Linked DNA regions of Arabidopsis thaliana. The protein of the gene in region 4 interacts with the protein of the main gene of each other region in a pairwise test. Each region holds a gene or a part of one and is shown on either strand. Other genes may lie near its edges.

What was found.
Region 1: the proteins of NIP7;1 (region 4) and AT1G19450 interact in a protein complementation assay, tested with the Arabidopsis thaliana proteins (one large-scale study listed by BioGRID).
Region 2: the proteins of NIP7;1 (region 4) and AT2G26730 interact in a protein complementation assay, tested with the Arabidopsis thaliana proteins (one large-scale study listed by BioGRID).
Region 3: the proteins of NIP7;1 (region 4) and CNGC10 interact in a protein complementation assay, tested with the Arabidopsis thaliana proteins (one large-scale study listed by BioGRID).

What each region holds. Positions count from the first base shown.
Region 1 is NC_003070.9:6,730,868-6,736,754, forward strand, and holds AT1G19450 (Major facilitator superfamily protein), read right to left. Parts: upstream 4,158-5,887; 5' UTR 3,767-4,157; coding exon 3,569-3,766; intron 3,447-3,568; coding exon 3,384-3,446; intron 3,273-3,383; coding exon 3,183-3,272; intron 3,068-3,182; coding exon 3,008-3,067; intron 2,920-3,007; coding exon 2,854-2,919; intron 2,765-2,853; coding exon 2,699-2,764; intron 2,604-2,698; coding exon 2,528-2,603; intron 2,420-2,527; coding exon 2,355-2,419; intron 2,270-2,354; coding exon 2,177-2,269; intron 2,101-2,176; coding exon 2,020-2,100; intron 1,938-2,019; coding exon 1,853-1,937; intron 1,755-1,852; coding exon 1,708-1,754; intron 1,643-1,707; coding exon 1,580-1,642; intron 1,486-1,579; coding exon 1,426-1,485; intron 1,336-1,425; coding exon 1,270-1,335; intron 1,174-1,269; coding exon 1,114-1,173; intron 1,032-1,113; coding exon 804-1,031; 3' UTR 544-803; downstream 1-543.
Region 2 is NC_003071.7:11,386,410-11,392,186, forward strand, and holds AT2G26730 (Leucine-rich repeat protein kinase family protein), read left to right. Parts: upstream 1-1,888; 5' UTR 1,889-2,211; coding exon 2,212-3,520; intron 3,521-4,209; coding exon 4,210-4,877; 3' UTR 4,878-5,273; downstream 5,274-5,777.
Region 3 is NC_003070.9:131,740-137,592, reverse strand, and holds CNGC10 (cyclic nucleotide gated channel 10), read left to right. Parts: upstream 1-1,668; 5' UTR 1,669-1,885; intron 1,886-2,270; exon of another isoform or gene 2,271-2,323; 5' UTR 2,324-2,376; coding exon 2,377-2,405; exon of another isoform or gene 2,406-2,474; coding exon of another isoform or gene 2,475-2,488; coding exon 2,489-3,011; intron 3,012-3,091; coding exon 3,092-3,304; intron 3,305-3,386; coding exon 3,387-3,682; intron 3,683-3,840; coding exon 3,841-3,952; intron 3,953-4,053; coding exon 4,054-4,290; intron 4,291-4,374; coding exon 4,375-4,769; intron 4,770-4,848; coding exon 4,849-5,179; 3' UTR 5,180-5,323; downstream 5,324-5,853. Other genes in the region: AT1G01350 (Zinc finger (CCCH-type/C3HC4-type RING finger) family protein), read right to left, coding at 1-658, 777-861. UniProt on the Arabidopsis thaliana protein: Probable cyclic nucleotide-gated ion channel.
Region 4 is NC_003074.8:1,840,631-1,844,926, reverse strand, and holds NIP7;1 (NOD26-like intrinsic protein 7;1), read left to right. Parts: upstream 1-1,730; 5' UTR 1,731-1,992; coding exon 1,993-2,133; intron 2,134-2,215; exon of another isoform or gene 2,216-2,309; coding exon 2,310-2,534; intron 2,535-2,631; exon of another isoform or gene 2,632-2,647; coding exon of another isoform or gene 2,648-2,770; coding exon 2,771-2,968; intron 2,969-3,175; coding exon 3,176-3,237; intron 3,238-3,337; coding exon 3,338-3,539; 3' UTR 3,540-3,759; downstream 3,760-4,296. Other genes in the region: MKP2 (MAPK phosphatase 2), read right to left, coding at 350-506, 870-990, 1,074-1,209, 1,321-1,410; AT3G06090 (uncharacterized protein), read right to left, coding at 3,915-4,154. UniProt on the Arabidopsis thaliana protein: Aquaporins facilitate the transport of water and small neutral solutes across cell membranes.

The DNA.
Region 1 (5,887 bases), on a different chromosome or scaffold from region 4:
GAATAAAATTAGGGACATTGTTAAACAAAAGGTTGTTTGTTTACTATTATTGAAGTTTGCTCCAATTAAATTACAGAAACCAAAACTTTCGTTTGTCCAACTTTGCCTTTCACTGACACTCACTCGTGTTGAATGGTGTGAATATGTGAATCCGTTACTTTGAGAATATAAACAAGGAACGGTAACTACAAAAACCATTTTCATGTTCTTGTAACGTATTATTTCGTTACTATCTGTAAATTGTCTAGATATTTTCCTAGTTTATTACTTTTGGAAGAAAATGACCTTAGTATTGTTTACTTGGTTCTGATTTCTTAATGAATGGTCAAATTGGACAGTGGGACATGCCAAGAATGTTATATAAAGAATGATTTTAAAATTGTTATTATATTGTTGTTTTCTTTTTCAAATCGACCGCCGTTTGCATTGGAAATAGTCCTTTCATGTTCGCCAAACAACAAAACTCCCAAAGCAGTTTCTATCACATGGTAGCTTTCCCATTTGGATCCAAAACACTAACATTTGCATTTCTGATTTTCTATACTTAATTCAAGATATTGTTGAATACACAAATATAGTGCTATTAATCTTGAGAATCCGAAAAATTACACACAAAAACAAAAAATCAAATTTAAAGGTATAATGATATGCTTGTACAAGATAAACAAATTATAATCAATGTCAAGAAGAAATACATTGAACAAAGCATGAAATACAGACACAGGGAAGGGACAAAAGAATGATCTGTAATGGAGAAAGCAAAAAGTGAAAATTTTGTCTTCTTCTTCCTCTTCTTGTTTTGATCATCTGAACAAAGCTTGGATCTCTTCAAGCGTTTTTCCTTTAGTCTCAGGAACCCAAAGACTCACAAAAACCACAGTGAATCCACAAACCAAAGCGTAGAGAGTGAAAGTTCCCCCACTGCTCCATGCTAACAGCATATTTGCAGTCATTGTCACTAACCATGACACGAACCAGTTTAACAAAGTTGCTATACTTCCGGCTAAACCCTTTATATTCACTGGCAGAATCTGTTTTACCAACATTAATCAGTATTAAAATTTCCAGTTGTGATTTTAACACTAAGGAACACCATGTTTTAATATTTAGTACCTCAGACATAATCAGCCATGGAATTGGTCCCATTCCTAGAGAGCAAGAAATAACCATAGCCTGTAAATAACTCAGCCAGATTTAGTACACATACCGGGAAATATGTAAATAAGAAAGTATCTTTCGTTGTGTGAATGTATAAAACAAACGACTTACCACAACTCCAACTACGGAAACCATGCTTAGAATGTTGTACATGTTGGAATCAGGTGATACAAATTCCTAACAAAAGATTAAGAAACCTCAATATCTCATAATTAGAGTGACACTCTTACATTGTACAAGTAGAGATGTCAAAAGTTAAAATGTTACCTTAAGGTAAAATGCAACTGCTACAATCACGAGGCTTATCGTCATTCCGATAGAAGAGATCTGCATTTCAGAAGAAAATGCTAATATTATGTTATGCATACATAAATTCTTCAGACTTTGTAAGATATACAGATGAATCTCAAATATTCTTCACCATGAGTAGAAGCCGACGACCTGCTTTATCCACCAACCATGTCGCTATCCCAGTCGCCACTACCTGGTATAGAATGAACAACGGTTAGAAAAATCGAATCTAATGTCTCCTAGATTGAAATGATATACCTGAACAACGCCAACTCCAAATGTCGCCACATTACTTGATGTCACCCCTTAGTGAATGATAATTGCAAACAAAGAAGCATAGTTAGAAATCTGTTTATTCTATCTTAGGACCATTCCAATAATCAAAAAAAACATATGACTCTACCTGCAGATTCAAAAATTGTACTCGAATAGAACAAGACACCATTGATTCCTCCAAGTTGTTGAAGTGCAAGCAGCCCTATACCAACCTGTAACACAGATTACAGGAAAAGAGTGAGTTTCTCTCATGTGTTGACAAAATTAGTTCAAGAGAGGTAAGAGAAATTGCACCATCAGTGGGAAATAGTATCTCCTGCGCTTGAGGTCTACAAACCGAACTGCAGAACGTTTGCTAGATGATGCCACAGATCTCTGCAGAGTGCATAAAATGAAAATTTTAAATAAGACAAGAAATCACATCAAAGCATTTCTTCAGTTTAGTCACTACCTTGATTTCATTAACCTCAACGGTAATATCAGTCTCAAATCCACGAAGAACTTGCAATGAAGTTTCGAAATCATCTGTCAAACCCATCTTTGCCTACAATTACAACACCAAAACAATTTAGGATAACCAATAATGCAACAAACTCAACAATATAAGCAATACGGTTGTAGAGGCATACCAACCACCGAGGAGATTCAGGAATGAAAAAAAGACCCGGTATCAACAATGTACATGGCAATACTCCTAAACATAAAGAAGACAAACAAGAAAGTGATTAGACTGTATCGATCAAAATAAAATAAAAACAGGTATAGTTTCTCCCAAGTCAAGTCAAAATGTTTTGTGAGTTACCCAAAACTGCAAGAATTCTCCATGGAACAAAGAGACCGAGTAAATACGCCAGCATTATCCCAATTGTTACAGAAAGCTATAAACACAAAACATTTATTGTTTAGTGTTAACATATGAATCAGCTCATAAAATGAAACATAAAAATAGTGAAGCTAACTAAACATGACAAACCTGGTTAACTGAACCTAAGGCTCCTCTCATGGTCTGTGGAGCGATCTCAGCTATATATACGGGAACCTAAAATCGCAATTCAAAGGTGTGTAATTATATTGATCACTCCAAACAAACATTGCTGAAATCAAAGAAATAGTTGAATCTAATATTACCGTATAGGAGATAATCCCAACTCCGAAGCCTTCTAACAATCTTCCCATGTAAAGAAAAGAAGTATCCTAAACAAAAACCAAGAACAACAACAACTTAGTAGGTATAGAGATAAGCCAAGAATATCAGAAACTTTGAGAACACCAAAACACTCACTTTTGCAAATGATATCGAAAGCCATCCAATAATATTGGGAATTGCAGCAATCATCAGAGACTGTCAAAAGGAAAGAAAAACACAGTAAATAAGATACAACAAGAAAGAAGATGTTACATGACAAATTGTCACAGATGAGAACATGTTTTAGAATCAAGAAACAAAACTATTATACCCCTTTCCGTCCAACGTATTCAGCAATCTGACCACTCGCAATTGCTCCAACCATAGCACCCACATTGGATAGAGACCCAAACACAGAGTACTAAAACATCAAACAAGAAACCTAAAAGTCAGAAAATTACAGAACAAGAGTCTTTACAAAAAAAAAAAAAAAAAACAGAACAGTTCTTAAATAAAGATGGGACCTTCATACCTCTGATACAGTTAAACCAAGATCCTTAGTAATGGCAGCTTGAGTTGGTGAGGAATAACCACACTGAAAACAAAAAGATAAATCAAAATCAACACTTTCTTAGTCAATTTGAGCAAAAGCAGAGAAATCCACATTGATAAAAAAAAATATAAGAAAGTTGAGATATTTGTTTATGTTGTTCTTACAGTGAATCCGAATTGAATAGGACCAAGAGCAACAATCAAAACACAAGCTAAGACAGAAATTGAGCTGTCTCGAATAACTTGAGACGATTCCAACATACTAGATTGTCTCGAACCCATCCGATACCAACTTCCTGTGTGTAAGAACGGTCGCCGAAGATCATTTCTTCCCTCTTCCGTATTATCATCCCTAAAACTCATCTTTTTGTTTTTCTTAAATCTACAAAACAATCGTAATCTACAGAGAGAAAAAAGCACGAATCTTTCGGAGGATAAAAATGTCGATCCTAAACTAGAAAATGCAGAAGAAGAAAAATACGAAATTTGAGGTAGGATTTGAGTTTTGGGTGAATTCAAAAAGATGTTAGACTTGTTTTGCTTAAGAATTCTTCATGGTTTGTAAAAATTGAGCCTTTGCGTGGAGAGACGCAGACTGTTTCATAGTTTTCCACCTCAGAACGCGTCGCCTAACATCGATTTATAGAATTCGTAAAGGGACCTGTTTTTTTTCTTCTCTGTCGACAAAAAAAAACTTAATTTAAAAACATTTTAATTTGTAATTAAATAAGATATCGTTCATTTTAAATTCTTTTATATCAAATTTAACTATTGTTTTTTTTTGTCTGATTGTCGTTTTCGAGTTATTTTTTGCGCAAAGATAATTTTTTGAATCATTGTCCCATGTTCGCTCACATATACAAGCATTTGTAGTCGCTTTGAATCATTTATTTTCTTCTACATACTTCTACATACTCATTAGTATTATAATGAGCTTTTACAATGTAACTAATTACGCAACAATACTATAAAATTGTGGTACAGGCTGAGACTAAACTATATTGTATTTTTAAGAAAATGTTTTTCTTTTTGTTTAGGTAAACTGTCTACTTCAAAGATATTTTTTGGTAGGAATAATAATTAAAACTTCCCATATTAGAATACGAGGCCACTAGACATTCCTTTTGACAACAAAAAGTGACAATGTCATTTTATATTTTAGCACTTATAATAATAGTTAGCATGCATTATAGAATTCATATTTAGATGTTGTCCTAACTCTTAACAAAATCAGAATAACAATATTGTGGGAGAAAATTTAGCTAAAACTTCAATTTAGGACAAATAATAAGATTATTAAAGTAACACTTAAATATGAATATAATGCTCGAATCCTCCTCTACTTTTTAGCATTTTCGCTACCTCGTTGATATTGATGTCGATAGGTCACAAATATGCAAGTGACATTATTTTATTAGATAAACTCGAATAATTATAGTTTTTGTTTTCTAGTATATGAAAAATATATGGATGTCATTAATTTCGAATACTTCAATAAATATAAATATTTATTCAGATACAACATTATTTATTTATTTTCAATATTTAAAATCTTTGAGAATACGACATGTTATTTCAATGTTTACCAATAACATCCTACTATATTATTTAGGAAATACATTTTAAATATAACTTTATTTTTTTGTAAGTAATTACATAGGTATGTCATTAGAAATAAGATTTTAAAGAGTAAATTAATTTATTTCTTTAAAAATTAAAAGTCAAATACTAATTTAATTAATTAAATTTAACTCAAAAACGAAATACATTATTAATTTCCAAAAAAGTAACCAATTAAAATCAACAAATTAGATTTGATATCTAAATTATCATATTAATTTTTTATTAATTATTATAGTTCACCTCTCATCTTTATATGATTCTATTTTTGCAAAAAAATAATATCATCGTTATAAAAAAATAATTAGAATTTTTTCGCATATGCCACAATTTGAATTTTTAAAAACGAATATAAACTGTTCAATACATGAAAAAATACTATAACGGGTCAAAAGTAGATTTAAGAAATTTTTTTACTGAGTACTGTGTCATAGTTTGAATATTTATATTCAATTTCATACATATTATTTTAAAATTTATAATCTTATATACTACAATAATTAATAACATATTAGATTTTTTAATGTGTATGATGTGATTCAATTTTTAATACAAGCTGAAAAATCCTACAATTGACGGGTTTAAATCAATATTAATACAAGATGATATACTATATGTGAAACTTTAAAATTAACAATCAAAATACAAGTATATAATTTTAAACACTAAACAATATAAATAATATCAACAAAACATATACAACTCGCAGTTTACTATACATTTAAAATCAAATAAAATAATATCATATATTTATAATCAACTTTACAATAAAAGTTTTTAGTTTAACTAAAATATAAGACTACCTGCTGTATAATGCAAGTTAAAATTATAAATAAGCCGATTACCATCACGATGGATGTACCA
Region 2 (5,777 bases), on a different chromosome or scaffold from region 4:
TCTAAATACCTTTGTAAATCTTGATGCTAGCAAATCTCGCCAAACAAATAACCATCTCATCACTAGCTTGTTCAGAGGCATTGAAAATATGCTCGGTAGTAATTGATCCCACAAAGTAAAAGGTAACCTTTCATCACTACAGAAAAGAAGAATAATCAACCAAAATGAATTGAAAACATCAAACATAATTTATTTATGAATGAGAATACAAACATCTCATATCTGTGTTCAAAATCAATCTTTTTGTTCGCTAATTGTTGACATAAAGAGTCTCCATTTCACAAACGTTTATGATCAACAATTTCTTGTACAAGTAAAAGATCATAATAATAAGTAACCTACGGGTAGGCAAACTGTTTTTTGGTTTAGGGTTGGTTCAGATTTTATGGTTTTTTGGTTTTACAAAAACTGAAACCATATAGTAAAAGGTATAGAGACTACCACAACACAAAGAGCTGTTTAAAAGACTTATTCTTATTGATAATAAACTTTTGTTACAAGTATTATCTCAGTTCTTACTTGATCTAATCTACCCAAAAGATCAACCCCGACTAAGAATAACTAAGCTCTAATTCTCTTCTCTGTTTTTTATCACTAACCCGTGAAGACGAAGAGAACTACACACTCACCTTCAAGCTTTTGCACGGCTTTGAAGTTTTTACTTAGTATCGAAAAATATCCCAGAGTGCTCAAAGCGGCTCACCCTCTGCTCTAGAATATTTATATCAATTCCCCAGAACCCTAACCTTAGGATCTCCGAGAATCTCTTGATATGGAATCTTCCTTGTTTCCAAGCCTATTCCTTTCTTTATTCTTCGATATAATATCTTCTATATTTTCTCGATGAACCTTGTCTTTGACACCTCTCCAAGTTAACTTCCATCCTTGGCTCTTCACATCATTCGCCTTAGCTTGCCACGTTTGCTCTCGCATCCATGTCTGCACATCAAGCGTCTGATGAAACCTGATGCAGCGTCCTGAAATCCATCAACGATCTGATCACCATCAGCTGATTGATTCACTCTGCATCTTCATATAGAAATCGTATGTAATTTAGTTTGGTCAAACTTTCGGTATCATGAATCATATCCCTAGTTGTAACTAATGGCATGGTTCTCAAAAAATTCTTATACCCAACAAGAAACATAGTGCATTATGTCCCAATTGATGTATTTGTTCAATTGGTTTCATGAAACAATACAACGATTGTCTAAAATTGGGTAGGGAAGAGTTTAGGCCTGACCTGAATATTTGCTGAATAAGGCTTGGGTCAAAACTTTTGTAACTGGGCTTTGAACACCTTATTGGGCGGAAGTTTGCAAAGCCCACCAGATAAATATTTGCTTGATGAGTCTCTAAAAGTCTTGTAAAGATTGATATTTAATCTATGTTTATGGTTAAGGTTATTTCAGAATATTGTGGAGAGCAAGTAAAAAAAACAAAGATAGGAAATTATGATATAACAAATGTGGATGATTTAGGTTTAGGAAATAGCATTTTGTTCAAATATGTGGAGAATACACCATAAATGTTTATTTTCTTATAGTTATCCAAGAGGTTAAATGGTTTAGGTAATCGTAATTAAAGATCAATACGCTAAACATATGTAATTATTTTTTGCGTCAGCTGGATTTTATTATGTCAATTTCAATTACTTAAATCCTAATGCCATAATTCAGTAGCAATTTAAATAATAAAATAAATTAATTTGGATATCTATTCAAATGTACTGTCTCTTCGAAGATAATAATCAAACTTTAAATTCAACAAATATCATCAAAGCATGAAAATTCAATTGTTTCCAGCTACGTATTAATAGCTTTAATGTGGAAAAAGAAATATTAATAGCTTTTTTCATGGAAAAAAGAAAAAAAGAAAGAAACTTTACTTTTAATAGTATATTTTTGTCTGAGCCAATAAAAGAAAAATAATATTTTGGTTTAACATATTTGTCCCTCGTGATAGATTTGATTCGTTCGTTCTCCTTCTCCTTCATTAAAGACTTCACGATCCCACACCTCCACACACATTGACTCACACACACACACTTCTCTCTCCAAGTTCAGAAAAACCAAAAATGGGTTCTTGTCGGAAAACCACTTCTGGTTTTCAGCAAACCCACTTCTTGTAATAAAACAGACAAAACTAGAAAGAAGCAAAAAAGCTTCGTTTTTTTTTTCTCTTTCTCCAAAAAAAAAAACCCCCCCAAATATGGCGTCAATTTCATGGGTTTTGAATTCTCTATTCTCGATATTGCTACTGACTCAGCGAGTCAACTCGGAATCAACCGCAGAAAAACAAGCACTCCTCACTTTCCTTCAACAAATACCTCACGAGAATCGTCTTCAATGGAACGAGTCAGACTCAGCTTGTAACTGGGTCGGAGTCGAATGCAACTCAAACCAATCTTCAATCCACTCTCTCCGGTTACCAGGAACCGGTTTAGTCGGTCAGATCCCATCAGGCTCCTTAGGTCGACTCACTGAGCTCCGAGTTCTCAGTCTTCGTTCTAATCGTCTCTCTGGTCAGATCCCTTCAGATTTCTCAAATCTTACTCATCTGCGAAGCTTATATCTTCAACACAACGAATTCTCCGGCGAGTTTCCGACGAGTTTTACTCAGTTAAACAACTTGATTCGTCTTGATATCTCATCTAACAACTTCACTGGTTCGATACCTTTCTCAGTCAATAATCTCACTCACTTGACTGGTTTGTTTCTCGGTAACAATGGTTTCTCAGGGAATCTTCCTAGTATTAGTCTCGGTTTAGTCGATTTCAATGTCTCTAACAACAATCTAAACGGTTCGATTCCGTCTTCATTATCAAGATTCTCAGCTGAATCGTTTACTGGAAATGTAGATCTCTGTGGTGGTCCGTTAAAGCCTTGTAAATCGTTTTTTGTGTCTCCCTCGCCGTCTCCGTCGTTGATTAATCCTTCTAATCGTTTATCCAGCAAGAAATCAAAGCTTTCGAAAGCTGCGATTGTCGCGATAATCGTCGCTAGCGCGCTCGTTGCGCTTCTTTTGCTAGCTCTGCTTTTGTTCTTGTGTTTAAGAAAAAGAAGAGGAAGTAATGAGGCGAGGACGAAGCAGCCGAAACCGGCGGGAGTAGCTACAAGGAATGTGGATCTTCCACCGGGTGCTTCGTCCTCGAAAGAGGAAGTAACGGGGACATCATCGGGTATGGGAGGTGAAACAGAGAGGAATAAGCTTGTTTTCACTGAAGGAGGAGTGTATAGTTTTGATTTGGAAGATTTGCTTAGAGCTTCTGCTGAGGTTTTAGGTAAAGGAAGTGTTGGAACATCGTATAAGGCGGTGTTAGAGGAAGGTACCACGGTTGTTGTTAAGCGGCTTAAAGATGTAATGGCGTCTAAGAAAGAGTTCGAAACACAAATGGAAGTTGTTGGTAAAATCAAACATCCAAATGTTATTCCATTAAGAGCTTATTACTACTCTAAAGATGAGAAACTTCTCGTTTTCGATTTCATGCCTACCGGAAGCTTATCTGCTCTTCTCCACGGTTAGCATCTATTATCTTACTCAATTTTGCTCAATTTCATTGTTACTACACTATTAGTTAGATACATTGTGTAGAATCTTGGTTAGGTTTTGAGTTCTTATGGTTATGGTTATGGTTAAGATTTGGAACCTTAGTGAGATTAGGGAGTGATGATTTGATAATATTTTTCTAATGGATACTTGTGTGATTTTGCTTTGCTGGCAAGAAAAACATTCTTATTAGACTGCATCACATTCTTTAGATATTTTATTTTTGTTGAATTGTGGTAGTTATAGCTGGAGTTGTTATGCAATTATTAAAAGAGAAAAGTGTGTTGCCGACATTGTTATGTGTCTGTCTGGTTAGTGTCATAATAATTTATTTCATAATTTTGCTTCTCTCTCACTCTTTAAAGATTGGAATAAAGGAAAAGAAAAAGACTCTTCCACATGGGCTTTTCTCATCATCATATCTTAAACTCTTTTCCTTGAAGTAAACTTTTGTCTAAATGAGTGATGGAACTAAAGAACCTTTAGAATATGAATATTTTAATTTACTGAAAATGTATTTACAATTTAAAGCTTTAACCTAAGTTATGATGGGAATTATAATGTTAAGCTAGTACTATGAACATTTTGGTCTTTTGAAACTGTGTTTACATTTTGAAGTTAACTTGCAATATCTGGCTAATAGGTTTGTGTTTGTTTTAGGGAGCCGTGGATCAGGGCGAACTCCGTTAGATTGGGATAACCGTATGAGAATAGCGATAACTGCAGCGAGAGGTTTGGCGCATCTTCACGTTTCAGCCAAATTGGTACATGGAAACATTAAAGCTTCAAACATCCTCCTACACCCAAACCAAGACACTTGCGTCTCTGATTATGGACTGAATCAACTGTTCAGTAACTCGAGTCCACCAAACCGTTTGGCGGGTTATCATGCTCCTGAAGTTCTCGAGACACGGAAAGTAACTTTTAAATCGGATGTGTACAGTTTCGGGGTGTTGCTTCTTGAACTGTTAACAGGAAAATCACCAAACCAGGCATCACTTGGGGAAGAAGGTATTGATCTACCTCGGTGGGTACTCTCCGTGGTTCGAGAAGAATGGACTGCTGAAGTATTTGACGTTGAGCTGATGAGGTACCACAACATAGAGGAAGAGATGGTTCAGCTTCTTCAAATCGCAATGGCTTGTGTATCAACGGTTCCTGATCAACGACCAGTAATGCAAGAAGTACTAAGAATGATCGAAGATGTCAACAGAAGTGAGACAACCGATGACGGGTTAAGACAATCGTCTGATGACCCGTCAAAGGGATCAGAAGGTCAGACTCCTCCAGGAGAATCAAGGACGCCACCACGATCAGTCACACCTTAGCAAATGAATGGAATTGATTAAGAAGAAAGCAGCTTTAAAGTTTTTCTTGTTTGTGTTCACCTTTTTTTTTTTCTCCTCAAAAGGAGATAAAGAAAGGGATGAGATAAGTGTGTGAGGTCTTTGTTAGGTGTGAAGGTAAAGCAAAAAAGACTGGACCATCTCTGCATTTGGACCAACTTCTACAAGATGGCATCTCCCATCTATTTTTTTTTCAGTCTTCGAGATATTCTAGTGGTTATTATTTTTTCTTTTATTTGTATTTGGTGTTTACAATTTACAGGTTTAAATCAAAATTCAGTCTAAAACACTTCCAAGAAACTCACTCTTTTGGGTTTTATGCATAGTCACTAATTCTTCAGCTGTTTGAATAGATGATCTTTTTTTTTTTACCAAAAACTAAAACAGATGTTACTTTATTAGTTTACATTATTATCGACGTAAAATGATTTAAAAATAATAACTTGCATGTAGGAAGTATATATATGTGTCATATAGTAGTAGAAATAGAAAGAAAGAGATCCGGGTCGTCTTATTTGAACATATCAAGCGACTAATCAGTCATATGAGTCATTAGATTAGATTTGCTACTTTTCATCATACAATATTTTCCAATTGAAAGTGAGTTTTTTACATTTGCAATTAGATACAAGACCAAAGCCAAAAACAGTTTCCACTTTTGAAAGCTTGCTAGTAAGTCATTATGAATATGATTATTTCAAACATTAAGCTGTTAATAATTATAAAACTTTCATATTTAGTTGGTGGTCTGCATTTGGATTATTAAATAAAGATGCAAAAAATATCACAAAAATGCTCAAAGATTTCGTAACAAATGCTTCCAAAAAAACGCACACATATAACTAGTAAAATGTAACCAAAATATAACAAATTTACAAATTA
Region 3 (5,853 bases), on a different chromosome or scaffold from region 4:
TTCCTAACTTTCTCTGCTTCTTCCCACTCTTTCTCTATCTGCCATCCTGGTTTGTAATCCCCACGGTCATGCAAGAACTTACACGAATCTCCATATCCACAGTATCCGGTTTCTTTGTAATCCTTGCAAATGTCTGGCTGGTAATCGAATCTAGCCGACACTCTTATGTGAGCAGAAGCTCTTAATGGCCCGTGTGAGCCTCCAGCTTTCTCGCTCGAGATTGTTTGTTCTCTTCTAAACCCAGCTTTGTGATCTGTATATCCATGAATTCCTTTGTACAGCTTCTCATCAGAAGCCTTTTTCTTATTCCCTTTCAATGCTTCGTCTGCTTTTTTAAGAACTCTCTCACGGATAGCTCGTGCGTCTTGATTGAAGTCGGTCTCAGTTTCAAGGGTTGCTGTTGCTCCACTGTCGTTCTGAACCTGGATTTCCTTGGATGAATCGTAGTGAAAGACGGACCTCTCAGGAGCTCCACTCGTTGTAGTAGAACTCTTAGATGGTCCAGAAGAAAAGTATAACTTGCTATCGGGTTTTGCAACTTTCTTTAGATTTTGTAGAATAGAGCTTTCGCTTTTCGAATCTCCGTCTTCTTCATCAGCGTCAATGGTTCTTTTTCTTATGTTTTTACTTTTCGTTGGCTTCTTGAAGAAAGTGCAAACTGAAACAGAAGAATGATTTGATTAGTGTAAATGAAAATTTCTAGCTAACAACGAAGAACAAGAAAAAATCTCAATGAGACGACAACTAGAATTGAGATAGAAGGAAGTATATGTAACCTTGTTGAGACTGAGTTTCTTGGGCAGCAGGTTGAGGTAGAGGTTCTTCTTGCTGAGAAGGTTTAGGCTCACCAGAATCTGACATAGTTAGATATAAGACTATGTAACAAACACAAATCACCCACTTGTAATTTGCTGCTTAGTGTTTCCCTGCAAAATTCAAGATTAGTATTAAGTCAATTTCCTGAAAACTTGTAAATTTGTTTGCACTGAGTCAAACAACAATTTTATCAAAATTTCTCCAGATTCAGTTACAATAATAGACAATGCAACATAAAAATGATCACCTGAATTCTTCCTAATTCATCTACGCGAGCTCACGAATAAACCCTAGCTAACTATCTATATCGGTGGCAATTTCATTCACAGTAGATAAGGAAGCAGAAATAGAAGCTCCAGACAGATCAATCCGAAACACAGTTCGACAACTCGATGTGTCAACGGAAGCTACAAAATTTGGAATCTAAAAACCCTTTGAATTGATTGAAATTGGAGACAAAAGCTCGAACAACACTAAAGACTAAACAAGAACGAAAAGTAGATCAAAAGTATGGAGATTAAACACAAGGAAGAATATGTTACCTTAAAAAAAAATCTAAAAATCGACGCCGGTGAGCTACACCGTCAAAAAGAACGACGACGCCGTCCGTATTTTCCGACAGAAAATAAATCAGTGTGAAGAGAAAAGAAATAAGGAACATATGGTGGGGCGGTTACTTCATTTTGGGTCATGAATCTAAATGGGCTCAATATTCATAATGGGCCCGGTACTTAAAATTTGGCAACTTGCTTATTCTCGCCGTCTGACTTTGACCAAGTCATTCATCTGAATGAAATTGTTTTATGAAATGATTTTCAATTGAACAGACTTTATAATATTTAATTGCATAATATTCCTCTTTCCCTCCCTTTTTGTCGTATAATAAAATTCTCATATACTACTTTTCCAGGAAACAATATACAGAGAGAGATACAAGTAACCGCCATATGAGTCTCTCTCTCTTTCCAGCGACGACGGGACCAGTTGCTTGAATTGAAGAAAACGCCGTTCACCGACTTCCGTTTATTAGCCGAATCTTACTATCTCGCCGTTACCTACTTCGTTTCAGGTTAGTTTGATGATAGAATTTTGATTCCGATTTCCGTTTTTGTTCTTTTTCGTCTGAATTTATTTTGCTGTTTCTCAGAACCGAAACGCTTAGATATATGTCTTTCGTTTATGGTCAATGGTTTTTTGAAATTTGGATTTCTTATCTTTGATGAACAGTGTTTTTAAGTTGTTCGTGTGGTTTCCATTTATTGAGCAGGAATGGGTAGGAATTACAGGATTTGGTATAATCTAATGTTAGGTGGAAATTGACTGATTCTAGGTTCTCTAATTAACCTTTTCAAGAAAGAAATATTTAAAAACACATACACACAACACAATTGTATTTGTAGTTAGGTGTCTACTTGCTTATTTTTAATTGGTATTGGGGATTATCATTGTACGTAATCATGTAGAAGAATTCGTATGTCTTAAGTTTTGGTTCTTATTATAATGTTAGGACTCGTCACCCTGTAAGCGAAAGATCAGTTGAAATATACAAGGGTTTGGCTGATGGCATTTAGCCATGATAATCGTGTAAGGTTGGTAGTTACAGAAAATCTTGAAAACAGTTCATAGTTGAATGATTTTTTCTACTATCTCATTTTCTTATGATTTTGTTTAGGTTCAAAGATGAAGGCAAACCATTATCCTCTGAATATGGTTATGGAAGAAAAGCTAGACCTTCTTTAGATAGAGTTTTCAAGAATGTAAAATGGGGATTCAAGAAGCCATTGAGTTTCCCTTCACATAAGGATCCTGACCACAAGGAAACATCTAGTGTTACTCGGAAGAACATCATAAACCCGCAGGATTCGTTTCTCCAGAACTGGAACAAAATATTTTTATTTGCTTGTGTGGTTGCTTTGGCGATTGATCCATTGTTTTTCTACATTCCCATTGTCGATAGCGCAAGGCACTGTCTTACTTTGGACTCAAAGTTGGAGATAGCTGCGAGTTTGCTTCGTACGCTCATCGATGCCTTTTACATTATTCACATTGTGTTTCAGTTCAGGACAGCTTACATCGCTCCTTCTTCGCGGGTTTTTGGAAGAGGTGAACTGGTAGATGATGCTAAGGCAATAGCCTTAAAGTATCTCTCTTCTTACTTCATCATTGATCTACTCTCTATCCTTCCTCTCCCACAGGTAAATGACTAGTTTGATTACTTGTTCAAAATGTCAATGATCATTTCTTTTTGAATCCTCTGGCTTCTTAACTTTTGCAGATAGTAGTTTTAGCCGTTATTCCAAGCGTCAACCAGCCAGTCTCTTTGCTAACAAAAGACTACCTTAAATTTTCCATAATTGCTCAATATGTTCCTCGGATTCTCCGTATGTATCCGCTTTACACTGAAGTGACAAGAACATCTGGCATTGTTACTGAAACAGCATGGGCTGGAGCTGCTTGGAACCTCTCTCTCTATATGTTAGCCAGTCATGTGAGTTTCGGATCTTTTGATGACTGAATCTTTATACATGTAAATGCATATTAAAGGTTATATGTTAAACTTACTTATTCAGGTGTTTGGAGCTTTATGGTACTTAATCTCAGTAGAACGAGAAGACAGATGCTGGCAAGAGGCATGCGAGAAGACAAAAGGTTGTAATATGAAATTCCTCTACTGTGAAAACGATCGTAACGTTAGCAACAATTTCCTGACCACTTCTTGCCCATTTCTCGACCCTGGTGATATAACAAACTCAACCATCTTCAACTTTGGCATCTTCACTGATGCTCTTAAGAGTGGCGTTGTTGAATCACATGATTTCTGGAAGAAATTCTTCTACTGCTTCTGGTGGGGTCTTCGAAATCTGAGGTTTGTAAGACACACATAAAACTGTTGACAATAACTAACTAGCTATATTTGGAGATTTTAAGCCGTGAAATGACCTGTTTATATTTGCATCTTAAGCATATATATCTGTCACAATTTAAACAAGTCATCATTCTCACAAGTTGCTTTTGTTGTTGCAGTGCATTGGGACAGAATCTCCAAACTAGCAAATTCGTTGGTGAAATCATATTTGCTATATCAATCTGCATATCTGGACTAGTCTTATTTGCTCTACTTATCGGCAATATGCAGGTATTAGCCTCAAATAATCGCTTCTCATTTTCTGGACTTGTTCCATAATGCTACATATAAGTTACTCAGGACACGCATGTAATTTTTGTTTGCTGTTGCAGAAATATTTGGAGTCAACAACAGTTCGAGAAGAGGAAATGAGGGTGAGAAAGAGAGATGCAGAGCAGTGGATGTCTCATAGAATGTTACCTGAAGACCTGAGGAAACGTATCAGAAGATATGAACAATATAGATGGCAAGAGACAAGAGGAGTTGAAGAAGAAACCCTTCTTCGTAACCTCCCTAAAGACCTCAGAAGAGATATTAAACGCCATCTTTGCCTCGATCTCCTCAAGAAAGTGAGTAACAAGCTTTCTCTCTTTTTCTTCCATAAACTGAACTAAAGAACCCTCAGAATCCAAATTATATGATGTTTATGGTAGGTACCTTTGTTTGAGATAATGGATGAGCAGTTACTTGACGCGGTTTGCGATAGGCTAAGACCTGTGCTCTACACCGAGAACAGTTACGTGATCCGTGAAGGAGATCCTGTTGGGGAAATGTTGTTTGTTATGAGAGGAAGACTGGTAAGTGCCACCACTAATGGAGGAAGAAGTGGGTTCTTCAATGCCGTGAACCTAAAGGCAAGTGATTTCTGCGGAGAAGATCTTCTCCCGTGGGCATTAGATCCTCAATCTTCTTCTCACTTTCCCATCTCGACAAGAACAGTTCAAGCTCTCACTGAAGTCGAAGCCTTTGCTCTCACAGCTGAGGATCTCAAGTCTGTCGCTTCACAATTCAGACGCCTCCATAGCAAGCAACTCCAACATACTTTTCGGTTCGGTCACTCCCATCAGCTTCTTTGGCTCTGTTTTCGGTTTTGGATCTTCTTAACCGGATCTTGATTATATATACAGGTTTTACTCAGTGCAATGGAGAACATGGAGCGTGTCTTTTATACAAGCAGCGTGGAGGAGATACTGTCGGAGGAAGTTAGCCAAGTCACTACGCGATGAAGAAGATCGTCTCCGAGAAGCGCTCGCTAGTCAAGATAAAGAACACAATGCTGCAACCGTGTCGTCGTCCTTGAGCCTTGGAGGCGCTCTTTACGCGTCGCGTTTCGCATCAAACGCGCTTCACAATCTGAGGCACAATATCTCCAACCTTCCTCCTCGCTACACTCTTCCTTTGCTACCTCAAAAACCCACCGAGCCTGACTTCACCGCCAATCATACAACTGACCCTTAGATCTCTCTTGCATGTGTATAGTGTGTGGAATAAAGTGTAAAAACAATGGTTTGAACTTTGAACCAATAAAATGTAAAAAATTGTTTATCAACTAACAGAAATTGAAATAATGGCTGGCTCTTATGCGCCGCTTAACTTTGGCTACTTCAGTTCAGCATCACACATGGAGGTATAGTTAGAGACTCGATCTGATGATCAATGCATTGAGGAAAGTGGGAAAAGCATATTTAGCTTTCAAGCTAATGCATAGCAAAACTGGGGTTGGTTATGAGAGAATGGCTAGTGTTAGAAGGTCTGTCAGGTTTAGGACTTTACTTAAACTTGTTTTGACTCCCGAGTTTAAAGAAACTTTTTTGCGTTTATGTCTTTTCTTGAAGAAGGAAACAATCGAAAGTTTCCTTTTTATTTTGGAAGAACCTAATAATGAAAACCTGAGGGAGAATGCTAATCTCCAACAACATCTCACTCATTCTCTCTTCTTCCTTGAGAAATCAAAGCAAACCAACCAATGTTTCCTTTTGGTTTTGTTCGGTATAATATCAACGTCTCTTTCGTATGTCGGTTTTCAGTGTTTCCTTTTTTTAAGTCCCGCTCCTGTATAAAGCAGACCAACATATTGAGCTTGCGTTTATATATACTACAAGTAACCCTAGAGTACTTTCATCTCTTTTTTA
Region 4 (4,296 bases):
CTCACGTTCGATCAAGATATCGGTTAACATTCAATGCAAGGGTCGAAAACCAAACCAACCAATTTTCAGTCTGGTTTGGGTATGGGATTGGTTTGGTTAAATTCACACTGATCCTCCTAGAAAATATATTCATTGTAGTAACAGAGGAAATGTAAATTCTGCGTTTTCATTCATTTCAATTGGCTAATGGACATGGCAAAGTGCTCACCATCAATAGTTCACAAGAAAAAATCCTTCACAGCACGAAACCAATCAACTTTTTTGGCCAACATGGGGCTGAAGACACTTGCCGGAATTTCATGAGAGTTCATCATGCCACTATCTTGAATCTTCTTATCAGCTGAAGCAATCATGCATTACCTTGGATGGATTTTTCAAATTGCTGGAGCTGCGAAATGAAACCGGGATTAGGATATGCCTGATGTCGTCGGCTCCTTACAAGTTCCATAGCTTTAGAGAATCCCATTCCATGCTTTTTCATCAGGTAAGCCACCACTATAGTCACACTTCAAAGAAAAACTCAAACCAATCAAATTGTGTAAGTATATATATAACAGAACGACACAATAAGCAAATTACAGGTTCAAGAAAAACTCTTAATTTGTCCACAACAAAATGTAATCTGTTCACTACCATAACTCCTACTAATACCAGAATCAGCAAGCTATAAAAGAATCAAAGCAAACTACAAGATTCATATACACTTTTGCCAATCTGAGTCTCTGTAGTTTCCTATGGTTACTCAGTTGGCAATTTATATACACTTTTTTGATATGGTTACATAATTTGCAATTGGTTCACATTGATGATTCTTAAACACTAAATCTAATAACTGAATGTATGAGATTTAAGGGCAAAAGAATCAAAACCTCCTAGACATTCCCATGAAGCAATGAACCAAAACACCACCACCAGATTGAATAGCTTGGTCGATGAAGCTATAACACTCATCGAAATATACTGTCAAATCGGTCTCGGATCTATCAACCACTACACGATGAAGAACAAGTTTATAAAATCTCTAAACGAAAAATTTCAAAAACAGGCTAAGGATTGAAGAAAAAAAACCCAACCTTCAATGACTTTGTAGACAAAATCATCAGGATAAGGAGGAGCCAAGGCCACAGCAACGGTTAAGACATGAGTGATATTAGAGCTTTTGAGAAAATCCTTGTTATTCGCTTCAGCTACTGATCCTATGAACAATCCCTGAGAATAAACTCATCCAACAAACGATTTTTCGGAATTAAAGACTCCAAAACCTGAGAAATTCCAAGTGTGAAATTAGACGGATAGATAGAGAAGAGAAACGAAGAAAACCTGTTGGATCTCGCTGAGATCTTTGCCTCCTTCGAGTAGCTTCTGGGAATTAGCTTCTCCGACTCCGAAGAGATCAACCACTTTCTCCATCGCTCTCTGCTTCTTTTTTCAAAATTCCACTTGTACAGACGAAAACTCTTAATCAGAAAGATAAATAACCCTAGATTCGTAATTAATATTTAATAGTTTAGTTCGGATAGATGAATCAATAAGCACCAGTGGTCTAGTGGTAGAATAGAACCCTGCCACGGTACAGACCCGGGTTCGATTCCCGGCTGGTGCAACAATTTGTTTGTTTTTTTAAGTGAAAAGATTTAAGAGAGTCAACCTTTTTACACATGAAATGAAGATGATTAAAATAAATAGATGACTTAGAAATCACCAAATTAACATTAAGAAATATTGGTAGGTAGGAAGTGAAAATTGAACACAAGAAAAGTGTTGAGCACCCTCTTCTCCTTTCAGACTGCTTAACCAAAGGAATATAGCAGCACTCTACTAATTCTTCTTTTTGTTGAAATAAAATAATTACTCTTTAATTTCCATCTTCTTTGCGTTTTTCTCTCTATCTCTCTTTTTTTGTTCCATTAGATCATTCATAAAGCGGATCAAGCCACCTTGATTGTGACTTTCCTCAGTTCTTGATCACTATATCTTGAAGGAATTAAGAAGATGAATGGTGAGGCACGGTCAAGAGTAGTCGACCAAGAAGCTGGCTCAACTCCATCTACTTTGAGAGATGAAGATCATCCCTCGAGACAAAGGCTTTTCGGATGTCTCCCTTATGATATAGATCTCAATCCCCTACGCATTGTAAGCTTCATATATACACAAAATCATAGAATCAACAAGATTAATATCTCACAATACTTTTGTGTTAAACTAAAGAATTGGCTATGTCCATAATTACAAATAATTTTTTTGAAAATATTAAAATGTTTGTATAGAAATAAAATGCTAATTAATAGTATCTCCGGACTAATGTTTAGGTAATGGCGGAATTGGTGGGGACATTCATTCTAATGTTCAGTGTGTGTGGGGTCATAAGCAGTACCCAATTATCCGGCGGCCACGTGGGATTGCTAGAGTACGCCGTCACCGCTGGATTATCTGTGGTGGTCGTAGTTTACTCCATCGGACACATCTCTGGCGCCCATCTTAACCCTTCCATCACCATTGCTTTCGCTGTCTTTGGCGGATTCCCGTGGTCTCAGGTATAATGCATCCATCTCAACACGGCGTTTGACCAACTAAGAATTGTAGTTGAATTATCTTGGTCTTGATCGTTTGTTTTTGTTTATCTTAGCGTTTAGACCAAGATCAAATAATGTGTTTTTTTCATTTATCAACGAAGATGAGACGAGAAAACTTAATCTTTTGTTTGGACGTTTACAAATTATTTTTTATGAAAACTGAAAATTCTTTTTTGGAATGTTGTGTCACATGCCAGGTTCCGTTGTATATAACGGCGCAAACATTGGGGGCAACGGCGGCAACATTAGTTGGGGTGTCAGTGTACGGAGTAAACGCTGACATTATGGCAACAAAACCTGCTTTAAGCTGCGTTTCTGCATTTTTCGTTGAACTCATAGCTACGAGCATCGTCGTGTTTCTCGCCTCCGCGTTGCATTGTGGTCCTCATCAAAATGTAAGTGACCAAATCGATCTTCGTTACTCCTCTAGTCCGCTTGTTATAAAAAAATATCTTCTAATAAGAATAACACCTAAAATGTGACATTTACATGCTATTTCTTAATTATGAAATTTTATTTCTTTCCAAAGAGAAAATAAAAAAAATCAAACTCTCTGATTAGAAAACTTATATGCATTTAATTTTATATGTTATTTTGTGCAGTTGGGTAATTTGACGGGGTTCGTGATTGGAACAGTCATTTCCCTTGGAGTGCTTATTACCGGGTACTTAACTTAAAACTCCATTATCACCGTAAAGTATTGGAAAATAGTTATTTCATGTGATCGTATAATGCTAACGTTTTGTGGAATATGGTATGGTTAGACCGATTTCAGGAGGATCGATGAACCCAGCTCGATCACTTGGACCGGCGGTGGTGGCATGGGATTTTGAAGACTTATGGATTTACATGACAGCTCCGGTGATCGGAGCCATAATCGGAGTTTTGACATACAGATCAATTAGCCTAAAAACCAGGCCTTGCCCTTCTCCAGTTTCCCCTTCCGTTTCTTCACTTTTACGTTAATCACTTCAAAACCTAATATCTATTATACAAATAAACACTTTTGATTTTTTTTCTTGGTTAAGGTTTTTAAGTTTTTGTCATTACGTCATTAGATGCCGTGATGCGAAAACAGAGAGCTACTTATCGGATTGAAGATATAGAGGGTAAAGCAAATGAAAACAGGGGGCATTTTGTTCTTTTTACACAATGAAATGAACGCAATTAAAAATCTTTAGTCACATATATTTTATAGTGAAGCGAAATTCGTATGAATATTCAAATCCTTTCATTAGGTTATAAGAACCCACTAAAATACTCATATTACTAAACGATACCAACAAACATAAATTAGAGAAATGAAATTAAATATCTTAAATTATTACCCCAACTAAAAATTTAGTGGCCACAACCTCTACGACTTGGACCAGAAGCTAACTTTCGACCTGACCACAAATTCGCCTTCTTCTTCTTCTCCTCGTAGTTTCCAAACTCATTTCTTGAATCTTCTCCGACTACATTCATTCTCGTTGCCTTCTCTGCAACCCTGTTACAACCATGGTAACTAGCCATGGCAATGGAACAAGTTAAGTAAGCGACCAAGAGAAACACAACTTTAAGAAGCTTCTTCATCTTCATGTTCTTAGTGTCGACTACTACTTAAACTATAGATTCTCAACATTGATTCGTATTCGTGTATATATGCATGTTTATAGATTTTTGGTCTTTTGTTCTATGAGAGCTAATGCATAATTAGTTAAACGGTTCAAATGTTTATTGA